2 linked regions of the Rhinolophus ferrumequinum genome follow. The protein of the gene in region 1 purifies or fractionates together with the protein of each later gene. This does not show direct contact. Links are inferred from orthologs where the notes say so. Each region holds a gene or a part of one and is shown in the gene's direction. Other genes may lie near its edges.

Region 1 (10,934 bases):
ATGTGCTCAATCAATGGCTTCCCACTATTATCACCACAACCACGTTCTTCCCTTGAAGCACATCAGCTTCCCATTCAGTCCCTCCATTATCTTTTTTCTTGTATCTGAAGTCTGTATAACACATCCAATCTTCCAGGGCACATACAGTTTACACTAATTTTTTTTCCTCCCCTGGTTCATGAAGTTCTTGAAATTTAACATTATTTTTCTATCTTTTTTGCTGCCTAATCTGTCTAGATCAAACTCATATCTTGCAGACTCCCCCTAATATACATTCAAAGCTCTGTTTTGCTTCACATCACTGATGTTTAATTACTTGGCAAGATCACTGCTACTTATGCATAAAATGTTTGTCAGAATTTTATTCTGATTGAGATCTGATACATCCTGAGCAGGAAGCCAAATTGAATAAAAAAAATCATTTATGGCTTATTTTGGAATATATATATGTCATATTTATGATTAAAACATATATACATGGTTTTATAAAATATATATAATTATACATATAAAACACAAATGACTGAAATATATATAGTCATATGACTAAAATATTGCCTTGTACAACAATGTAAATGTTTTTAATGCCACTGAACTGCATACTTAAAAATGGTTAAAATGGTAAATTTTGTTGTGTATATATGACTGCAATTTTTAAAAATAAATAAATAAAAGAGCTGGTTGACATAAAGGGGGGAAAAAGAATAATACATTGGCAACCAAAGACTGATATCAATTCACAAGATGTAACAGTTCTACCTCACAATAGATTTTAAGTAAGAATATCTTAAAGGCCAAATTTTATTTGGTAACTACAATAGTGATTTAACGTATTTATGTATTCCATGTTATGAACAATTAAGTATGTTTGAATAGGTAAGTTTACATGATTTTTTTTTTTTAATTGGGGAATGTTGGGGAACAGTGTGTTTTTCCAGGGCCCAACAGCTCCAAGTCAAGTCGTTGTCATTTAATCTTCAATCTAGTTGTGGAGGGCGCAGCTCAGCTCCAAGTCCAGTTGCTGTTTTCAATCTTTAGTTGCAGGGGGCGCAGCCCACCAACCCATGCGGGAATCGAACCGGCAACCTTATTGTTAAGAGCTCGCACTCTAACCAACTGCTCCATCTGGCCGCCCCTACATGATTTTTTTATAAGTGAATTAATTTCCTTTCCCCCCAATATATAGCTCCCACTTCCATGCACAGTGCCTCATACATAGTTGAAACTTAATAAATATTTGTGAATGGAGGAGTAAAATATACTTCAAGATTATTTCCACTGAACCTCTTTAAATGGAAAACAAAAGGAGACTTTGCAATCATATTTATATTCATCAATATAAAGTATTAATTATTTCGAGCTCTTCATATAGGCAGGAAAAAATGCTTGTGCTATTATTGCAGCATCACAGAAAAAAAGGATTGAAATTGGATCAATTCGATCTGTTACTAATGCCTCTATCACTATGTCACAAGTTTGATGTTGTCAAATGAATTGATAATTATTATAAATACAAATTAGATCATTTTTGAACACATGTATAATATGCCTAGTACTATTCTAAGGCTTTACACATAGTAACTCATTAAATCCTCATAACAACCTTATGATCTAGTACTATTGTTACACCCAAGAAGAAACTAAGGCACACACTTGCACCCAAGGTCACGTACGTAGTTCGTTAAGTGGTGGAACTAGGATGTGACCTCCGGCAATCAAGCTCTGGAGTCTGAGCTATTGACCACTTTGCTCTATTGTTATTTTTATATTTCGTCCTCATAGCTATCCTAAGAGAATATTCTCATTTACAGAGGTGAGGTTTATAACAGTCAAATAGCTTATAAACTGCAGAACTGAGATTCAAACCTGGCAAGCCTGATTTCCAAGACTGTGCTCTTAACCTCCAGGCAATATTGTTTCCTGAGCCAAGCCATGTTTTAAAACCTGCGTATTGTGGTTCATTCATGGTTCAGCCAAAAACTGATATTTCTGTTCAATTCATGATTCATTGTTATTTACTATACTTTTGGCTTGTGGTTCAATTTAGTTCAAATCTATGACCTGAAGTAAATTACTAATCTTTCTGTAATTCTACTTCTTTAGATAAAAATAATATTAAATTACAATAGCTTGTTTGCAATGTTTTGAGCTCAAAAAACAAAACTGCAACAACAACAAAAAACAACAACAAAAACAACAACAAAAAACACCATCTCATAGCTGAACAAGCTGTTAAACTCTAAGTACTTCCTTTTGTTTTATATAACTGCGGTGTATCCTACAACTGTATTAGAATCCTTCTAATTGTCTTTTGGACATGACAAAAACTGTTTAAGCACCTTCCATAATTTAATTCACTAGACTCATATCTGACTCATTGGAATTCTTAATGAATTCCTTAAGACATTTGTTTGAATTTCAATTGGGCCATGCTATGAAAATAAATTGTCTTAAATAAAACACCTCACAGTGAACTGGACAATAAAAACAAAATCATCCAGTCTCACCAAAGACAACCACTATCAACATTTGGTATGATCTTTGTACAAATATATTTTTAAAAAGACTTGTGTTTTTTTTTTTTTTAGAGCACTTTTAGGTTCACAGTAAAATTGAGAAGGTTTAGAGATGTCCCATATACCCCCTCTCCGCACACATACACAGCCTCTGCCATTATCAACATCTCCCACCAGAGTGGGACATTCGTTATAAGAGATGACTTACATTTACATACCATAATCACTCAAAGTCCATGGTTTACAAAACGCTTCGCTCTTGGTGTTGCACATTCTATGGGTATGAACATATATGGCATGTGTTCACCGTTATAGCATCATACGGAGTATTTTTACTGCCCTATCTGCCTATTCATCCCTTCATCATCCTCACTCCACCCCCTGCTTCAGTATGTCTTACGCATTTTATATTGTTTCTGAGCATACTGATATATATGACAACTTGCTCCCTTCATTTAAAGCAAACACTTCCAAGTTACTAAAACTCTCTCTAAACATCCTTGTAATGACTGCATAGCAGGCAATGAGGTGGGCATTGGTTTATCCCTTTTTTCTTCCAGTCTGTAGGAGTGGAGAATATATGCCAAATGGCCACAGAATGTTGGGAATTATAGTTGAAAATGGGTAGAATATAGAATTTGAGGTAGAGCCATTGCCAGATAGGCAAATCTCCCGAAGGCTGAGTCATTTACATTTACAATGCAACCAAAACAAGTTTGGCTGGGAAGGGAACAGAGAAAAGGCAACAGTTAGAAAGGAGTGCCAGGTGAAAGGATGCTTTCTTTTCAGAGAGGAGAGAGGTCAGGCAGATTTTGAAACTGAGACAAACTGACCCCATATGCCATCTGATGTGATTAAGTAAGTACTCAACAATACCTATGTAGTACGGGGGAGCCAAAAAATGTATACATGTGACTTGTATTCAGCTTTTGATATCAGTATATATTGAGTATTATAATTTTAATCCAGTGTTTTCTTAAAATGTATATACTGTACATTGTTTCGGCACCCTCTGTATTCCTGCACCTGTCCCTCCAAATAGTTTTTTAAAATGCTTACTGGGAGAAAACATCCAAATTGAGGAATATTTTGCAAAAATTGGTTTGAACTCTTGGGGAAAAAAAAAGTGGGGACTATGCTAAACTAAAGTAGAACAAAAAGACATGACAACTAAATATATAATGCTCTACTGGATCCTGTATTGGAGCAGAGCTGTTATAAAGAGCATTATTAAGAGAATTGGGGAAATTTGAATATGTTAATTGTGATATTTTGTCAATGTGAACAGTTCTGAGTGTTTATTTTATTGTGTTAGGTAGGAGAATGTCTTGTCCTTGATTTAGGAGATGCATTCTGAAGTACTTAGGGGTGACGTGTCTAGATGTCTTCCAAATGGTTCAGGCAAAAAACAAAAGAGAGAGAGAAAACACTTATTGGGAGATGTTAGCAATTAGTCAAGAGTATATTAATACCTATTTTACTATTTTTACAGCTTTTCTGTGGGTTTGACATTTTTTCAAAATAAAGGGTCAGGGAGGCGGGGAAAGCAATGATGTTTGATTTCCTCAGCTGTTGGTGGTGAGGGAGAGGAAACAGTGGTTTGAGTATTTGGGGATGGCTGCTTCCTGGCCTTTAGTTCCTGAGCAGCTGTTCTTTGCCAAGCTTTCCTCCAGCTTCTGTGAGCTCCTGATAGGTTTCTAGTAAAATCCCTTTTGCTTAAGTTAACTATAGTGAGTTTCTCTCATTGAAACCGAGAACCCTAAAAATAAAGCTAGAATGTATGCAATATGCACCATACAAGTTTGTGCCACGCATTTTAAAAGAAATCAAATGAATGAATATATTTTGAAATATTTTAGGGTTGTATGGTGTTCATGCCCACTAATTGAGTGTGTCAAAAATGAAGACCAGTGCACTTTTCAACAAGTGTTCCCTTATGGCATATGAACTGAACATTCTGTTAATCCTTTGCCCAAAACTGCTCTTCCGCTTTATTGTGTGCCTTATGGTCAATCACTTCAAGTCCATTACATGAAAAAAAAAAAAAAACACAACACATTGGAATTCAATTGCCAGGAAACATATGGCAAGAACCTGAACCACTGGCTCACTTAGAATAAACTTGCCCTGGCACTGACAAAAATCATTAGGATCACATTTCATTTTCCATAAAAGAACAAGTCCACTTTTATACAAGAAAATTAGGAGATGGGAAGAATGAGAGAGCACCACTGCGGGTCTCGTCAAGTAAGATTATTGAACGAGGAGAAAATTAACACTTCGGTGACTACTATGTGCAGTGTACATTTGACATCTTGATTTTACTCCTCAAAAGAACTCGGTGATAAAGGCGTTATTTCCATTCCACAGATGAGGAATCTGCGGTGGCAGGGAGTTCGAACCTAATGGAGACCAAAGCCACGTGTTTTTAAAAAACGTCATGTTGTCTCAGCAGGAATAAAGTATGACGTTTCCCAGGATTAGAGCAGACTGTAAATGCCTACGGCAAAACATCGACTAATTCCTTCAGGGCCAGGATGTACTACTTTTTGTCTATATGGCACTTTGAAATAGAGGATAATACCATCACCTTTCCTGCTTTTTAAGACAGGTGATCCTGTTTTCCTTACTAGGGAAACATACCGAGTAAAGAATAGGCATATGGAAAACAATTTCAAAACCTGTAGGGGGTTTACAGTACAATTCAGTGAGTACTGTGAGAGAGAGGGACGAACCCCCGAGGTGTAGGGCAGAGTCTAAACGTCTGAAACCCAAATCCAGGCTCTTTGTCACAGGACATGACTTCACATTTTTTTCTAAACTATCAGTATACGTCAAATTTCCCAGTAAATAGTCCCAGGATAACCCGGCGCCTGGACCACGCCCACAAATGCCAGTCAGGCAAAGTGGCGGCCGCGCATCAAGGCTAAACCCGGCCCGGCCCCGCCCCCTGCCCGGTCCCGCCCCCGGCCCCGCCCCGCCCTACGCCACAAGCTGGCACGCCGTCGCGCCTGCGCAGACCGGACATGCGCTTGGAGGAAGTTGCGCCGGCGCTCCTTGGGAAAGTTGTTTCTTCCCCGACGACACTTCTTTTCTCCACGGCAACTGAACGAGGACTGTTTCCGGGTCGAAGGGTTTGCTTCCGGAGAGCGGGAAGGCTGAAACGCGGTGGCTAAACTGGATCCCAATTTACAAGGTTCCCGGTGGAGAAGGCTGTAGCCATGAACAGGTCAGTTCAGGTGGTGACTGCTGAGCTTGGAAACTTGTCCCTCCTGCTTGTTGGCGGAACGAAACAAGTGGAACTCGACTTCCAGAGGAAGCCAGGGAAGGCCCGGGTGCTGACTCGAGGACTTTCCCGGGCTGGGAGATTCTGCAGCTGATGGAAGAAAGGCCGCCAGGTTGGGAGAGGGATACGGATAATGATAATCCCTTGCGTTCCTACGGAGCTCTGTCATTGTTCTGCCATTTCGCGGAACATTTTTCGCTTCTGGGGTGGGCGGGGTAGGAGGTGGCCCGGCATTCGAGATGCTAGAGTGACCTGCTCGAGATCCCAAAGCCAGTCAGTGAGGCAACTGGGAATCTCATCCCAGACTTGCTGATTACAAGTTCCAGCGATCAGATAGTTACTGAGTTGAGTTCTTCCTAGGACCCTGGTACTGCGCTGGCCGCCTGCGACACAGATGCCTTATTCAAGGTTCTTGGCCTCGGGGTAGTCGCTGTGTAGTGGAGGAGACGATCAGGCAGTTTTCTACTGCCCTGTGGGAAAGGAAATGAAACAATTAAGTCTCCCTGTTACGGGAGGTATCAGGAAAACCTCTCAAAGGAGGTAATTTTCTAGTTGGTCTTTGAATAATAATAGCTAACATTGAGTACCTTAAGCACTTTGTATCGTTAGCTAATCTTCGTAACAATCCTGTGAGGATAGGTACTCTTTTCATAGATAACACTGGGGTTAAAAGAGGTTAAGAAGCTTGGTCAAAGTTGGGAAACTATTAATAATAAATAGAACCAAGTTGCCAGCCTGTAGGGAAGCTTTTCAGTGAGTAAGTGTTCACCAGGTGGACCAAGGGGGCAAATGTCCGCCTCTAAAAGAAGCAACGTGTACAGAGATGTAAGGATATGCCAAGTGCATGCTTTGTGTAGCTGAATGGTCAAATGTATGTTTGTATGGTATGGTGATGTTTGTAGCTGAATATAAGCGTGAACCGGTAAGCTGAGGTCAGATTGTACAAACCATGGTAGGAAATTTGGACTTGATTCTGTAGGCCAGAGGTAGCTACCTATCTGAAGGTTTTAAGTGGAGAAGCATATTAGATTTTTCTTTTAAAATACAGGTCTCTTAATTCACACAATTTATTTTATAGCCCTTGGGCTGAGAATGACAGGAGATCTGAAGCATTGTGACTACAAAGTGCTGAGACAGGAGACATCCTTAGTGTATCCTAGAGAGAAATAACTTGAAATATTATTTTCTCCAGTTTACTAGAATTCTTTTTTTACTTAGCCTCCCATCTCACCAGTTAAATAAAGCAATAAATTTCTTCATAGTTTCCATGGTTTGAAGTATTTTGGAAACCACAGAAAATCCTTTTTAAGAGATATAATCCAGTAATTTTAGGGAACTCCTCAATCCAACTGAGGAAAAATTTACCTTCATGAAGCAATTATCTAAAACAGTAATATAGATTCCAAGTGTTGAAATAATTGCAAAGGAGAAAATAACAGTGAGTGCTAGAAAGTCTTAAAGAAGTCTGTGCAGGTAAAATTTAAGCAGGACTTTGAGGGATAAGTAGGATTTGGAGCCAGAGGGCACTGTCAACAAAAAAAGCAAAGACATGGCTACTGGAATGATCTGTACCTTGACTGACTTGGGTCCTTTGCTCCAGTCCTGATGATGGAGTTCTTTGCAAGTGCTACATTCTCGTTTCATTCACGTGGGCTTGATTATGCTTTTAGGAGTGGCTTTGGAGAGATGTTATCCCCTGTGATCCGGGAGGCAGAGGTGACACGGACTGCACGGAAACAGAGTGCTCAAAAAAGAGTTTTAAGTATCCTTTGCATTTTAAGCATCATTATAAAAATTGCAGAGTGTTTGGGATCAGGATTATAGAATTTTCTTTTTATGAGAGACATTAAACACTAGCTATAATAATAAAATGCTGCAGAAATTATTTTTTTGACTCCCCAGATAATGTTATTTGGTAAATACAATGCTGAAATTCAGTGAGATTAGATTTATATTTTCCTGAAAATAAGGGTGCTCGATTTTACTGCTATTATATTGTAGTTAGCTTTTGTGGAGGTTAGATAGCCTTTTTAAATTTGAAATCTGACTAGGAACTCTTAGTGTAATGTGTAGTAATCTTAAGACATATCTGAGAAAGTAAGTGATGTAATTATTTACTCTTTGCATAGGAAAAAATGGTAGCCATAAAATACCTTGTCCTTTAAAAATGTATCACATATTTTGTATAGTGTAAATGTGGGTAATTCTAACTTTAATGGTGTCTTTTTTTTTTTTTTTTTTGGATGTCTTTTCTACATGGAAAACTTTTCTTAACTTCCAATAGTTCGGGCATCCCAAGATGAAATTTTTGCTAATACTACACCAAGAAACCAGGTTCTCCCTCGAACTCCCAGCTCATTTCGACCGCCTTGTAAGATTTTTTTAAAGCATGTAGTAATAATAATAATAATAATAGTAATAATAGCAGCTAACACTTATACACATAATAAATATATTTGGTTGAAACATTAGTAATTAAGAATAAATAATAATGATTGCATTTACTATTTGTTGAACTCTTACCATGTGTAAGGCACTAATTTACATACACAATAACTGGGACATAGGTATTATCTCTATTTTGCCAAAACTGAAAGTGAAACTAAGAAGTTAATTAATGCTGATAACATAACTAAGTATGTAAGTAATAGAACCAAAATTTAAATAATGATCTGCTTACTTCAAAACTCGTGCCCTCTATTCTATACTGCCTCTTCAGTGTGCTATTTTATAAAATTAAAATACGAAGAATCTATTGACTCATTAGTGTCCTTTTTTACTGCTCAGTTATGTTATAATGAAAGCATATCTATTTGTAGTAAAATTTTTCCTGATGGGCTCAGTAGTACCAAAATAAGTTAAATTTTCATATCATGGAAATGTTAATATTTAACATGTTTATTTGATTAGAATCTAAATAATTGACAACTGAAAATTATTTGTTCTTCATATTGTTTGTTTGTTCTGTTTTCATGATCAATGCTCATGCACTCTGGATGAGTTTTTTACTAACCTTTTATTTGTAGTTACTCCACCAAACCGAAGCTTACTCAGGCAGCCAGATATTTCCAGCATTCTTGGAACAGGAGTGAGGTCTCCCCGGTTTACACAGTCTTCACTGTTCTTGGGAAATCTGTCTATGGTATGTAGAAAAATGGGGCTGAAATTTTCTCCCTTTTTGTGAAAGTGTCCTATGACACTCTTTAAGAATCACTGTGGTACGGTATTTAAAATAGCAGAAGAAATGTCACATAAACTGTGATGTAGAATGATTTGACTTAGGTGTTTAAATACTCTATAGAAAAAAAAAGAATTGGATCTCACTGAAAAGAAGAAAAAAGAAGAGTTTTATTGGAATAGTAGAGTATTATGGCACATTTAGTTCCAAAAACAATATAAAAATGATTTTTCGGTATTTGGCTTTGTGCTTATTAAAAAGGCATAGAAGTTTTACATGCACTTGAAATTGTCTAAATTAGATGTTTTCTGAAGAGTGGTTTTGCATGTTAAGCCTCTCTTTATCTTAGAAGGTTAACTCAATCTTTAATATATTATTATATTGTGGATTTTTAGAGTGTTAATATCTAATAATGATCTAGTCATTGAACAATTTTACTCTACTTATGAAACTGGTTTGTTTTGGCAAGGTTTATCTTGTACTTAAAAATATGAGTGAATTGACTGCCCCTGGGTTTAAGCAAGAGATGATTTTTATTGTTTACTGCTTCAGAATTGCAAGATTAATAGTAAAGTTGTTACTCTCTTAAAGGATGAAATAGTATGTATTAATTATTATAAAACATTTGGAAATTACTTTGTAGTCCAAGGTATATTTTTGATTTGTTTTGCTAATTTTAATATTAGTTGTAAGTGGTGGTCTTGGATATTTAGGTTTCCCTGAAGGAATAAAATTACCTGTGACATTAATTTTGCCATATGTCCATCTACTAAGATTTGATTGTGGAGCAAAGTATTTTTCTGAATGCAAAATGCCATTGCTGTGTAAGATTTTTCAGTTTTATTCTTATATTAATGATAATGATAAATACCCAGAAGGGAGTGAACTATTAATCAATCTAAGAGCTGAAGCTAAGTTCTCCCCAGCCCACAGTTACTTCCTCATGAATATATAGGGTACTAGCACCCATGTTTAGCATTTTTTTCTTGGAGAGACTGATTTAAAGGTACATTTTTGTTGTTACTCATACCTGAATTTTAAAGGTGAATTTTAAAAAGCTTTTTATTAAAAATAGAAGAACAGAATAAGCCCCCATGTGCTCATTACACAGTTTCAACAGTTACCAACATACATGGCTGACCTTGTTTCATCTGAACCCACAGCATTTCCCCTATATTACTTTACAACTCCCAGACTTCATAACCATTTTATCCAGAAATACTTATGGACCTCTGAGACATAAGGACAGTTTCTGTAACGTAAGCACAATACAGACATGTCTCATTTTATTGTGCTTCGCAGATAATGCCTTGTTTTTTTTTTTCACAAATTGATGGCAAGACTCTCCACCAGCAAAAAAAATGTTTTTGTTTGTTGATTCAAATCAGGAACCAAGTAAGATCAACACATTGTATTTACTTGATATGTCTCTTAAGTCTTTTAATCCCTAAGTTTCTTCCTCATCATCTGTTTTTTTGTTTTGTTTTGGTTTTTTAAGGAGGGGGCAGCTCACAGTGGCCCATGCGGGGATCGAACTGGCAACTTTGGTGTTACCAGCACCACGCTCGAAATAACTGAGCTAACCGGCCACCCCGTCATCTTTTTTTTTTTTTTAATTTTATTGGGGAATATTGGGGGACAGTGTGTTTCTCCCGGGCCCATCAGCTCCAAATAGTCTTTCAATCTAGTTGTAGAGGGTGCAGCTCACTGGCCCATGTGGGAATTGAACCAGCAACCCTGTTATAACCCTGTTATTAAGCTCACGCTCTAACCAACTGAGCCATCGGCTGCCCCGTCATCTGTTTGTTTTTTGTTTTTTTTAATTGCCACTTATTTGTTGAAGAAACTGGGTTATTTGTCCAGTGCAATTTCCCCAAAGTGAAGAATTGATGTGAACTTAGAGCAGTAGGACCCCCTTACTTAACTTATCACTGTCAGCTTAAATATTACAAAA
Region 2 (10,803 bases), on another chromosome or scaffold:
TGGACCAGCAGCAGCATTATTTAGGAACTTACTAGAAATACAGTTGACCCATCAACAACATGGGGGTTAGGGGCACTAACAACACTCCCACACAGTCGAAAACCCAGGTATAGCTAATGACTCCAAATATTTAACTACAGTTGTCCCTTGGTATCCACGGGGGATTAATTCCAGAAACCCATTCAGATACCAAAATCCATGGATCCTCTGCTTAAGTCCCATATATAAAATGGCAAAGAACAATGCATTCAGTCAGCATGCCGCATCCGCGGATTCCCAACCGCTGATTAAAAATACTGTTTTCAACCACGGGTTGGTTGAATCTGCTGAAGACCAATCAGGGATACAAAGGGCTGCCTGTATATTTATTGAAAAAAATCCATTTATAAATTGACCCATGATGTTCAAACCCGTGTTGTTCAAGGGTCTACTGTACAAATTCTTGGGAGCCTCAGCAATCTGTCTTAATCAGTTTCAACCAGCTCTCCAGGTGATCAAATATGCTCCACTTTTAGACCACTGTTTTAAGTTATTAAAGAGCAGTTGTCATCACAACATAAGCTATGAGATATTAGGAGATGTACCATTATAGTCTAAAATAATCTATAAACGGTATATCAACTACGAAATCATACATAATCATGCTTCTATTGTGATTTATAAAAGAAATCTACAGTAGATATTTTCAACAATTACAATATTAAAATGAAACCAATTATGAACTTCATTTCTTTAAAAAAAAATTAAAACCATAATTTGCTTCCTCTTCAGGTTTGCAGATCCTTTTTTCTTCAACATCAACATCATCACATTTTAATCTTTTTCTAAAGACTCAATTAGAAGCCTTCAGGAAAGCTTCCAGTGGAACCACCAGGAAAAAGAGCAATTTTCAAATTTTGTGCCAATTGAAATGTTTACATGAGCAAATATTACTTTTATAATAAACTAATAAATAAAAATGACACCTATTAGCTGGAATGAATTTAACAAGAAGTTGAAACTAAAGTTACAAAAGGGTTACAAAAGACGCTAAACAATATGAGTACTCTAATTTCCTCTTACCATAGATCTACTATAAAACTAAATATCTACAATATCAACATGCACATTAAATATTTCTTATCAGATTCGCTGATAGAACAACATCCTTAGGAGTTTCAGCTAAGAATAGTAATGCAATACGTTAAAGTGGGAAAAGATCTAGTCTTGGCTTACTATAAATTTGGCCCCAAAAGGAGAGACTTTAAGAGCCTGATTGATTACAAGCTTCTGCCACAGCCAAGTGTCTACTAAGATAACCTACCGGTGGAAAATTACCTAATCACAATTCGAGTGTAGAATGTTTCAGGTGTATATACTGCAACAGCAGACACTAGATCATTGTAAGAAATTTTATAAAAGTACTTACAACGTATTGAGCTTATGTGCAATCCATGGGGAACCTAAATGGCACCTAATAATGCTGTCTCAGCATATAAATGCCCATTTCCAATCAAATATCCTTCAATAAAGTGAATACTGGCAATGCTTGACAGAATTTTAAAATCTAAATATTCTTCATTACTAAACACTAAGGCCATGATTTCCAAGTATCAAATACTGTTTTAAAAAACGTCAAATGACTAATATTAAGTACTAACCATGCGCCAGATAGTGCTATTTCTCTAACTCATCGGAATATTCCTAGCACAGATCCAAGCATATAACGTACATTTAATTGGCATTTACGGAAAAAAAAAGGAATGAGTATTAATTTCTTTGAGAGGATTCACAGGTAATTTTTAAAAGTCCCAGAGGTTACCAATTGGATTAGGAAATATGACAGACACATGAAAAGCTAAATAACCTATGACAATTAAAAATATCACGTGGCAAGGTATGCTTATTTGCAGTTAGTGGCAAAGAGAGTGCTATAAATTCTGACCAGAGTATTATGGGCTGCAATCCTGGTTTCCCCACCACACCGCGACACTACACTTCGATTTAAAAAAAGAAAGTGACACAGCACTCATCCCGCCCTAAAATTATCATCAGAGGAAGGAATACAATAACTCAAGAGAAGGATATAAAGAAACTTCCACGCAAGGCTTTTAACGCATATGGCAGTCCTGAAAAAAGTTAGATTAGACACACACACACACACACACACACACACACACACACACACACACACATACTCGTTCGTTGGATTCCAGGACCTCTAAAGGCTCCTTAAACACAAGTCTCTCAGGAACAGCATCCCGATTATTTCTTCCTCCGCCCCCCACGAAGCTTTCCACTGGACAGCCGCCCCAGAAATTTCTCCCAGCATCCGCAACGACAATACTCTCATCTTCCTCTCCCTCCCCTCGCCTGTATCAGACGGTGGCATCTCCCTCCAGAGGAAAAAACGGAGGGCGGGGGAGGCAGAATAGGAGAGAGCGCTCGCAGCGAGGTCGATCACGAAGACGACGGAGGTGAGAAGACGCGGGGGGCCAGGGTGGACCCCTCAGTTCCAGACCAGACTCTAGGAGGCCTAGCCAACATCTCCCCACCCCGAGTGCACGCCCCTCGCCCGCCGGACCCGGACGTCCAGGAGAAGGACTCGAGTGACAGCCCCACCACCTGTGCCGCGCCCTCTCCTCCCAGGTCTCTGGGGAGACGCCTGCCCCTGCCCCACCAGCAGCGGCCGCGGGCTCTTTCTCTCCCCTTCCAGTCCACGTAGCCAATGAGTGACAGGTCCCGGGGGACGCGATCGCAAGCGCATGCCGTTCGGGACTGCTGGTGCAACCCTGGGCCGAAGCCCTCCAGCAGACACGGGGGAGGAGGGGCGAGAGAACGCTCCGGACAGCCCGGGGGACTCTGTCCAGGCCTGGCCTGCCCCAGTTGCCCCACACCCAGCGGGGGTGGCACTTACTGCAGAGATTGTGGATTAGCTCCGAGTGGCTGGCGCCGCCGGATTTCCAGGCCATCGCTAAGCACACCCGGAGCAGGTACAGAACCACCTTCAGCGCGGCGACGGTGCCCAGCAGCTTCCCCAAGAGTGAGACCACCTCCCACACGGTCACCGGCCCGCTGGCGTCCCCGCTGTTGCCGCCGCTGTGACTGCCGTCGCCGCCGCTGCCGCCACTGCGCGCTCCCGGCATCCCCCGCGGCACGCATGCGCTCTGTGACGCCTGGCGGCCTCGGGTGCGGCTGGGTGGGGCCGGAGGCGGGGGTGGCCCCGAGTCCAGCCGCCCCCGTTGGTGGCTGCTGCGGCTGCCGGAGACCGGCGGAGAGGCCAGGCAGAGTTAGCGCCGCCGCCGCCGCCGCCCCCGCCGCTCCGTGCCCCCTTATGAGGCCTCGGGCTGCAAACCGCCTCCTTGTTCGGTTCGCCCTGCGGCCAGGCGGCGTGGGCCCGGCTGCGGTGGGTCGCGTGCCCGGCTGAGGCTCTGGTCGCCGAGCGCGGTTGCAGGATAGCGGTGCCTTTCTGTGACGTCGCGTCTGGACGATCTGGTTCCGCCGCTGCCGGTAGCTCCGCAGTCTCCGTTGGGTCAGCTGTTGCGAGCGGCGGGTCTGCTCCTATAGCTGCCCAGATTATTAGACGGTGGGCTTCCTCCGTCCTGCCTCACCCAACCCTGTTGACTAATATTTAGGTCGGTTAGAGTCAGAGCTTTCTGGTGCAGCCTGAATAATATTAATAGCACCAGAGAGCAAAGGCCCTCTCTAACCCGAGTTCGGCAGCCTCTGGCTTTATGACAACTACATCGGTGTTCGGTTAGAGAGACTTCGCAGCCCCTGGTTTGTTCTCAATTCTAAAGTACAAATTCAGAGAGTAGAAGAATAACATGACATGTGGGGGCGAGGAATGCTTTACTCACCAGAACAATGCAATTGGTTAAAAATACCACAGTATTCTATCTATATCCAATGTATTACTCTAACACAAGTGTGAGCTTTCAGCAAATTAAACCTCGCAAATGGTACCGTTAAACTGGACATCAGTACTATTGCTGTCATCTCTGCAAGACTGAGCAGCTGAAAGGGAGCATTGCTTGTCGCATTCAACTTGCTGACTCCTAATCAGAACTGATACTGACAGAATCCAATCATCCAGTCCAATAAAATTTTAAGGAAGAAAAAGTTATGTCAAAACATTATGCGCCAGCAGCAATTTTCAAATTCTAGTTCTTTCCAGATGTCAAATGTGATACTCAGCCTACTTCCAATACAAAAAATATGTTACGTATTTTCTGGAATTCTGTGACCATAAATGAAACCACACTCAAAACCGTGTTCTTTACTTCAATAGTAGGAATAAAACTGTCAGTGTGGGATTAAGTTTTCCATTTCATCTCTCTGCAGTTTCCTATTGTAGTCCATTTAAAAAAAGCCTCAATCCTCAATAAGACCTGATAACTCTCTAAAGCTGACAACCAACACATCATTATGAATACAGTATAAAGGAGATTTTTAGAAAGATGAATAAGTCACACCTCTTATGTATGCAATAGGATTTACATTCTAATTGGGGAGATCAGCATCAAAATAAAACTAGCAACAGAGGACAAAACTTAAGTGCTATTAGTGGCCAAAATTAGGGGTCTAAAGTGCTATGTTTATTTAAGATCACGGGCTGGAATAATCAGGAAAAGATAACAGGAAGGAACTGGTCCTTGAAAGATGGGTAGGATCCCAAGAAGTAAAGAAGACTATACGGGTATTATTACAGGTGTAACCAAGAGCACTGGAAGAACCTACAGCACTGATTCCTGGGCTGTCGATGTTACATATCAAACTTAATTGTTAATACATATATAAGTCAATTGAAGAAGGTTGGGCAATGGTCATGAAAACTAGAACTGGAGTCTTCAGCATTCCAACTCCAGGCTTTGCAAGTGTGCGTTAAGAACTTTGAAGCAAAGAATTTGTTTGGGAGACAGAGGGAGAGGTTTAGAATAATAAGTTGGTGTGTTAATGGCGTGCACTTCCATGAGAATTTAAGGATTTGAATAATCTATGCACAGTGAAATGCAAAGCTGAATGTTTAGGTGCGGCTACTTGGTGGTTTCTCTTAAATTTGTTTTAACATTGCACAGTTATTGGATGAATGCATTGTGTCAGTGTTCCTAAACTGATTTTGAAGATTAGGAGCAGGTCCCACAGTACCAGGACCAGCACACTTGTTGCCTCTGTTAAAAAACGCGTGGGTAAGGAAGAGCGTCAAAGCTTCCTTCTGCTTGGGAGCTGGTGGTCCCCTCATTGCCGACCGCAGAGAATTGGCTCTCCGCAGCCACCGTCCGTCCCGTAAGGTCCAGTCCAATCAGAGCTCCGCGGGAGGGGGCGGGACTAAGAGGCGCGCGCTGTGCTTTTTGCTGTCTCCGCCGCGGTTAATTTCGGCATGGAGGAGTTTTATGCTAAGTACGTGTCTCAGAAAATCAGCAAAACCCGCTGGCGACCGGTACCTCCGGGAAGTCTGCAGACCGCGGAGATCTTCGCTACGGGCTCTTGGGACAATGAGGTATCTCCGTTCCCGGGCCAGGAAGCCCCTGTCTCCTCCCCCTCTTTGTTCCCCGCCCGGGAAGCCCCTGCGACCCCCCGGCCGCCTGCGCGCGAATTCTCTTGCCTTCTACATCCTCTCACTTTTCTCCATCCCCCGAGTCCCTGTCGCGGGCTCGGTTGACCTGTACCCCAGCCATCGATGGTATGTGCCTTAGCCTCGAATCTCGTGTTTTAAACTATCACCACACTGTCACCACTATTCTGAGATGCTTTCAAAGCAAGGTTGCCTGTAGGCAATACAAATGTTAATTTCCGAAAGTTTAACGTAATATTTCATCTCAAGGTAAAACTTGCTGCTTTACAGGAAAATTATGTTTCACTGTGGTCTATTGGAGATTTTGGGAACTTGGACTCTGATGGAGGGTTTGAAGGAGACCATCAGTTACTGTGCGGTACCAGACACCATGGTGATGTTATGGATTTACAAGTAAGTAACATCTTTTTTGGATGTATAATATCCAAAAGCTAACTTTTAAAAAACACTCATACATTTAGAGATGTAAAGGACCTTACATTTTCCTGGGTCTACAGGAAACTGAGTTCTCTATAGGTTATGATTTTTGAACATCATATAGCCACTTAATGTTAGAATCAGGAGTGGGGAAGGCGATGTGGGTTTAACCCTAGTTTTTGAATCCTAGGGTTTTTTTGTTTGTTTGTTTTTTGTGTTTTTTTTGTTTTTTTTTTTTTTAGTTGACCATCTACTGTATGCCAAGCACTATTTGGGGAGCTTCACATAATTCTCATTGCATGCTTGTGAATCAAGTATTGTTATCTCTGTTTTATCAATGAGAAAACTGAGATTAAGATCTTTTGAGCAAGTGCTGTGTGACAAATACTGTTCGAGTTACTTTACATGTGTTTTGCTCTTTGAATTCTCACAACTCCCTAAGTAGGGATTAGTTCTCTCCTTTTAAAGGTTTACCTAGACTTAAAACAATTTAACTTGGCCAAAGTCTCAAAGCCAATAGTAAGTGGTGGGACTGAAATTAAGTTTTCAAATCCTGGTATGTGTGACTTCAGAGTCACTGTGTTTTCTTCAATAGTAACTTGCCTCACCTTACTTTTCTAAACCTTTATGATAGTGGTCCAGAATTAACTAAATCAGTTTTAGGGGAATGAGTTTAGGGAAAAAAATTGTTATTTTTTTTCCTTCACAAAAATACTTATATTGGTATTGGAATTTTTACTTTCAGGTCTGTCATCACATTTTATTTGCTTAGCATTTATAGGCTCTTTGCATTTTAAAACTATTATTACTACTAATTAAGTTAAACAAATGGGCTTCCACTTTACTGGTATTTCTCAATCCATAACAAGCATGAATTTTCTGTTTAGTTTTTTGACCAGGAAAGAATGGTAGCTGCTTCATCAACAGGATGTGTAACAGTTTTCCTTTACCGTCCAAATAACCAGGTAAAGAAATTTTGTTTGAAAACTTAATTAATTTGTATTTTCATTATTTTTAGGAAGGCTTTAAAAAGACTGTTTTTAATAATGACACAAATAATAAAATTATATAGTCTCAAAATATGGAGGGGAAAAACATCGTTATATTACCCAACTTTTAGTAGACTAATTTTAGAACCGTGTTTGTGTGTGCTTGTATTGAATTTGGTTATCTCTTAAATTCTGTTAGTCTAGAGTCTAGACTTAACAATCTAGTATTCTGGCAAGGAATTTTCCTGTAATTCTGTTTTAAGTTCCCATTTTGGTCTTTGAAGAAAGAGCACCTTTTAGTTAAGGTATCATGAGAGAAAACAGGAACAGCTACTTTGCTTCTGTGGATAGAACCTGGGTTTTAATTAGAAGAGAGGATACTCTGTGTGAAGACTTGACATTTTTTCAGTGCCTTTCCTGTGTGCTGAAGCCTAAGAGTACTGACCTTCAGAGCATAGTGTTGAGGGCATTCCTTTAAAATAGGTAGTCCCACTTGTAATAGTTTTAAGTTGCTAGAAGAGAGTGCTTATTTAGACTTTGGAATTAATAAAGGTCACGTTGCTAATAGGCATGTCTAGAAAATATAAGACCCGGGTCTTATTAAGTATTAATGGAATCCTTTAGAAAGCATTATAGAGATTTATTTCTTAGATGTAGGCTAATTCCCTTAAGAATTTAAAGTTGCTTTTGAACACACAACTACCTGATACCTCAAAACCGTTTCTTTAGTTTGAGATAAGATTGGCCTATTATTGAACAATGGTCTTTTGAATCTAATCCAGTGTATACAGAGCTTTGATGGAAGTAGTTTCTAGGCTTTAATACTTGGAAATAAAAAGGAAAAAGGAGAGAGTTGTCCTTTTGCTAGAAGGGTATGAGACGGAATTTTAAAATACTCTTTAGTTGGGAAAAAGTGCTATGTTTTTAGAGCTTTGCTTTGATTAATCATATTGTCATTTCTGACACCTAGACACTGTCCGTCAGCCAGCAGTGGACAGCAGCTCACCACCACACCGGTCTGGGCAGTCCTTCCTGCAGCAGTGCGCCATGTACGGGGGTTGTGTGCAGCAATCCAGACATTGTCACCGTCGGAGAAGATGGTCGAATCAATCTCTTCAGAGTTGATCACAAGGAAGCTGTGAGAACTATAGGTAAGAAAAATCATTATATTTTTTTCTAGCATCACCTAGGAATCAATCACCTACCACGTGCTAAGTGGATACAATGTTAAGTGGTTGAGGCATATAGAAATGTGCAAAGCAGGATCCCTTTATCAAGACACTGTGGTGATAAGGCATATATGACTGAGTGACTACAGAGGAAAGAGAAACTTTTTATTTGGCTGGAGTGGGTGATTGGATAAAGAATTGAGGGGCAGGTGGCAATTCATCTAGGTTCTAGACCATAAATAACTAAAATACGGCACCCCAGACAAAAGAGATAATGTGGAAACAAGAGAAGGCCATTTAGAGAATGACAAAACATATAGTTGGACCTGACTTTATTTATATAGGAGAGGTGAGAGATGAAGCAAGACAGGTAAATTGGGGCCAGGTTGTGAAGAATCTAATGCACAGCTATGGAGGCTACATTTTGTTACTGTGTTTCCCTGAAAATAAGACCTAGCCAGACAATCAGCTCTAATGCGTCTTTTGGAGCAAAAATTAATATAAGACCCGGTAGGTGGGCAACCAAGGAACCGTTGAGTTTTTGAGTAAGGGGTTGATATACTCCCTGTTGTGCTTTAGAAGGATTATTCTAGTATAGTAGTTCTCAACTATGCTTCACAAAGACTTCCCTGAGAAGATTTTTCACAGCCCACTATCCTAGACCTGAATCAACCTGCATGGATTGAGTCCATGAATCCATTTTTGGTGTTGTTTATTATGATTGTAAGTTCTGAGGAACACCACTTGTGTAACACCATTGCCTGGTGACAGTTTGGAGAAGTGTCACAAAACAAAAGTCTGTAAGTATATGCTAAATTATGTGATACAAGCTTAAACCTGTTGGAAGAAGAAAAGGACCATTATAGCAATCGGGAAGGACTTCAATGGAGGAGAGAGTTGCAAAAGATAAAGATGAATCAATTTGATATGAGTCAGCAGAATAATACAGGATCAGAATGAGCTCTGGAGGAAGTACTGGGGTTTGGCCCAATAGAATGGAGGTTCTGGGTTAAGCACTAGTCAGAATTAAACTGGTTACAGAAGAGCTTAAGCAGCTGTCTCAGAAATGCAGAATAACAATCTTAAGTGGAGATGGGGAAATACATAAGTGAAAATTAAGCCCTCTGTGGAAAACAGTTCAGGTATCTTGTGAGTGGTATCATTTTTCTATCAAAGGAGATTTAATTTTAACATACACATTACTGTACGTTTTTTATAAAAATTAAACTGTGACATATTTAAAATTTCACTTATAATATTTCAATTAAAAAAGAATTGATTTAAGGAGGTTGGTCCGGTGGCTTAGGCAGTTGGAGCTCTGTGCTCCTAACGCCGAAGGCTGCCGGTTCGATTCCCACATGGGCCAGTGGGCTCTCAACCACAAGGTTGCCAGTTTGACTCCTCAACTCCTGCAAGGGATGGTGGGCAGCGCCCCCTACAACTAAGATTGAACACGGCACCTTGAGCTGAGCTGCCGCTGAGCTCCCAGATGGCTCAGATGGTTGGAGCACGTCCTCTCAACCACAAGGTTGCCGGTTTCGATTCCCTCAAGGGATGGTAGCCTGTGCCTCCTGCAACTAACAACGGCAACTGGACCTGGAGCTGAGCTGCACCCTCCACAACTATAATTATAAGGACAACAACTAGACATGGAAAAAGCCCTGGAAATACACACTGTTCCCCAATAAAGTCCTGTTCCCCTTCCCCAATAAAATCTTTAAAAAGAATTGATTTAAGATTTTCATGGAAAAGGGGGACCCATTAACACTGCTATTTTCTTAATTTGTAGACAATGCAGATAGCAGTACACTCCATGCTGTAACCTTCCTTCGAACTCCTGAGATTCTTACAGTAAATTCAATTGGGCAGTTAAAAATATGGGATTTCAGACAACAAGGAAATGAGCCGTCTCAGATATTATCACTGTAAGTTTTGGTTTTTAATTTCCATAGTGTAATGCAAAATTAATTTGTTCGATTATTTATAGCAGTTGACTTTAACTATATTTTAATTGTATTTTAAGAGAATGCAACCTTGAATAAATTTGATAAAGCAACTATAATTTAATGGATTTGATACTACCAAACTACATTTAGTAAATATTTGCTCCCTTGAGTCAGAACTTTTACTCTTTGAAGTTTATATTATTGTTGTTCATCAAATGATTCTATTAATAGTGGGTATATACACTCCAGATGTGATGGGGATAAAAATACAATCCAAGATCTTTTTTTCTGAACAGAAATCCCCTTTCTCTGTGTGCCACCTATTCTCTGACAAGAAAATAGAATGTGTTTCAAACTGAAAAAGGTGTTACATAAACTAAACGCTAAGTAAGGTAGGAGTAAAGATATGCTGTTTAGTTAATATATAATGCTTTTTAAAAGCCAAGAAATGGAAATGCGTTTTGCATATCTTACCATCAGATCATCTTGCTCCCTATGCCTCAAAAATGAAGAGAGAATGAATAACTTTGGCCCTAACCACCTCCCGCGCAGATTCTAATATTAGAAGTATATTTAATATAGTCAGTTTTTTTTACATGAATTATGTTCAGCCAGTAGCTCCAGCTACAAAGTTATTTAATTACTGGAATGAAACATGTTTCATGAACTATGAGAAGATAAATTTTACTTTACAACATGTTTGATGTCACTGTATCTCCCATAAAAGG

What was found.
Region 2: the proteins of NUP107 (region 1) and NUP43 purify together in Homo sapiens (affinity purification with mass spectrometry; 8 studies listed by BioGRID and IntAct, counting the BioPlex papers as one, with this or other methods). This does not show direct contact. The link is inferred for Rhinolophus ferrumequinum from reciprocal best matches to the Homo sapiens genes NUP107 and NUP43.

The regions. Positions count from the first base shown.
Region 1 is NC_046293.1:64,885,475-64,896,408, forward strand, and holds the start of NUP107 (nuclear pore complex protein Nup107), read left to right. Parts: upstream 1-5,563; 5' UTR 5,564-5,737; coding exon 5,738-5,745; intron 5,746-7,472; coding exon 7,473-7,564; intron 7,565-8,086; coding exon 8,087-8,173; intron 8,174-8,803; coding exon of another isoform or gene 8,804-8,828; coding exon 8,829-8,944; intron 8,945-10,934. UniProt on the Homo sapiens protein: Plays a role in the nuclear pore complex (NPC) assembly and/or maintenance. Required for the assembly of peripheral proteins into the NPC. May anchor NUP62 to the NPC. Involved in nephrogenesis.
Region 2 is NC_046286.1:93,109,396-93,120,198, reverse strand, and holds the start of NUP43 (nucleoporin Nup43), read left to right. Parts: upstream 1-5,319; 5' UTR 5,320-5,359; coding exon 5,360-5,479; intron 5,480-5,824; coding exon 5,825-5,947; intron 5,948-6,858; coding exon 6,859-6,936; intron 6,937-7,930; coding exon 7,931-8,111; intron 8,112-9,918; coding exon 9,919-10,054; intron 10,055-10,802; coding exon 10,803-10,803. Other genes in the region: PCMT1 (protein-L-isoaspartate(D-aspartate) O-methyltransferase), read right to left, coding at 2,897-3,125. UniProt on the Homo sapiens protein: Component of the Nup107-160 subcomplex of the nuclear pore complex (NPC). The Nup107-160 subcomplex is required for the assembly of a functional NPC.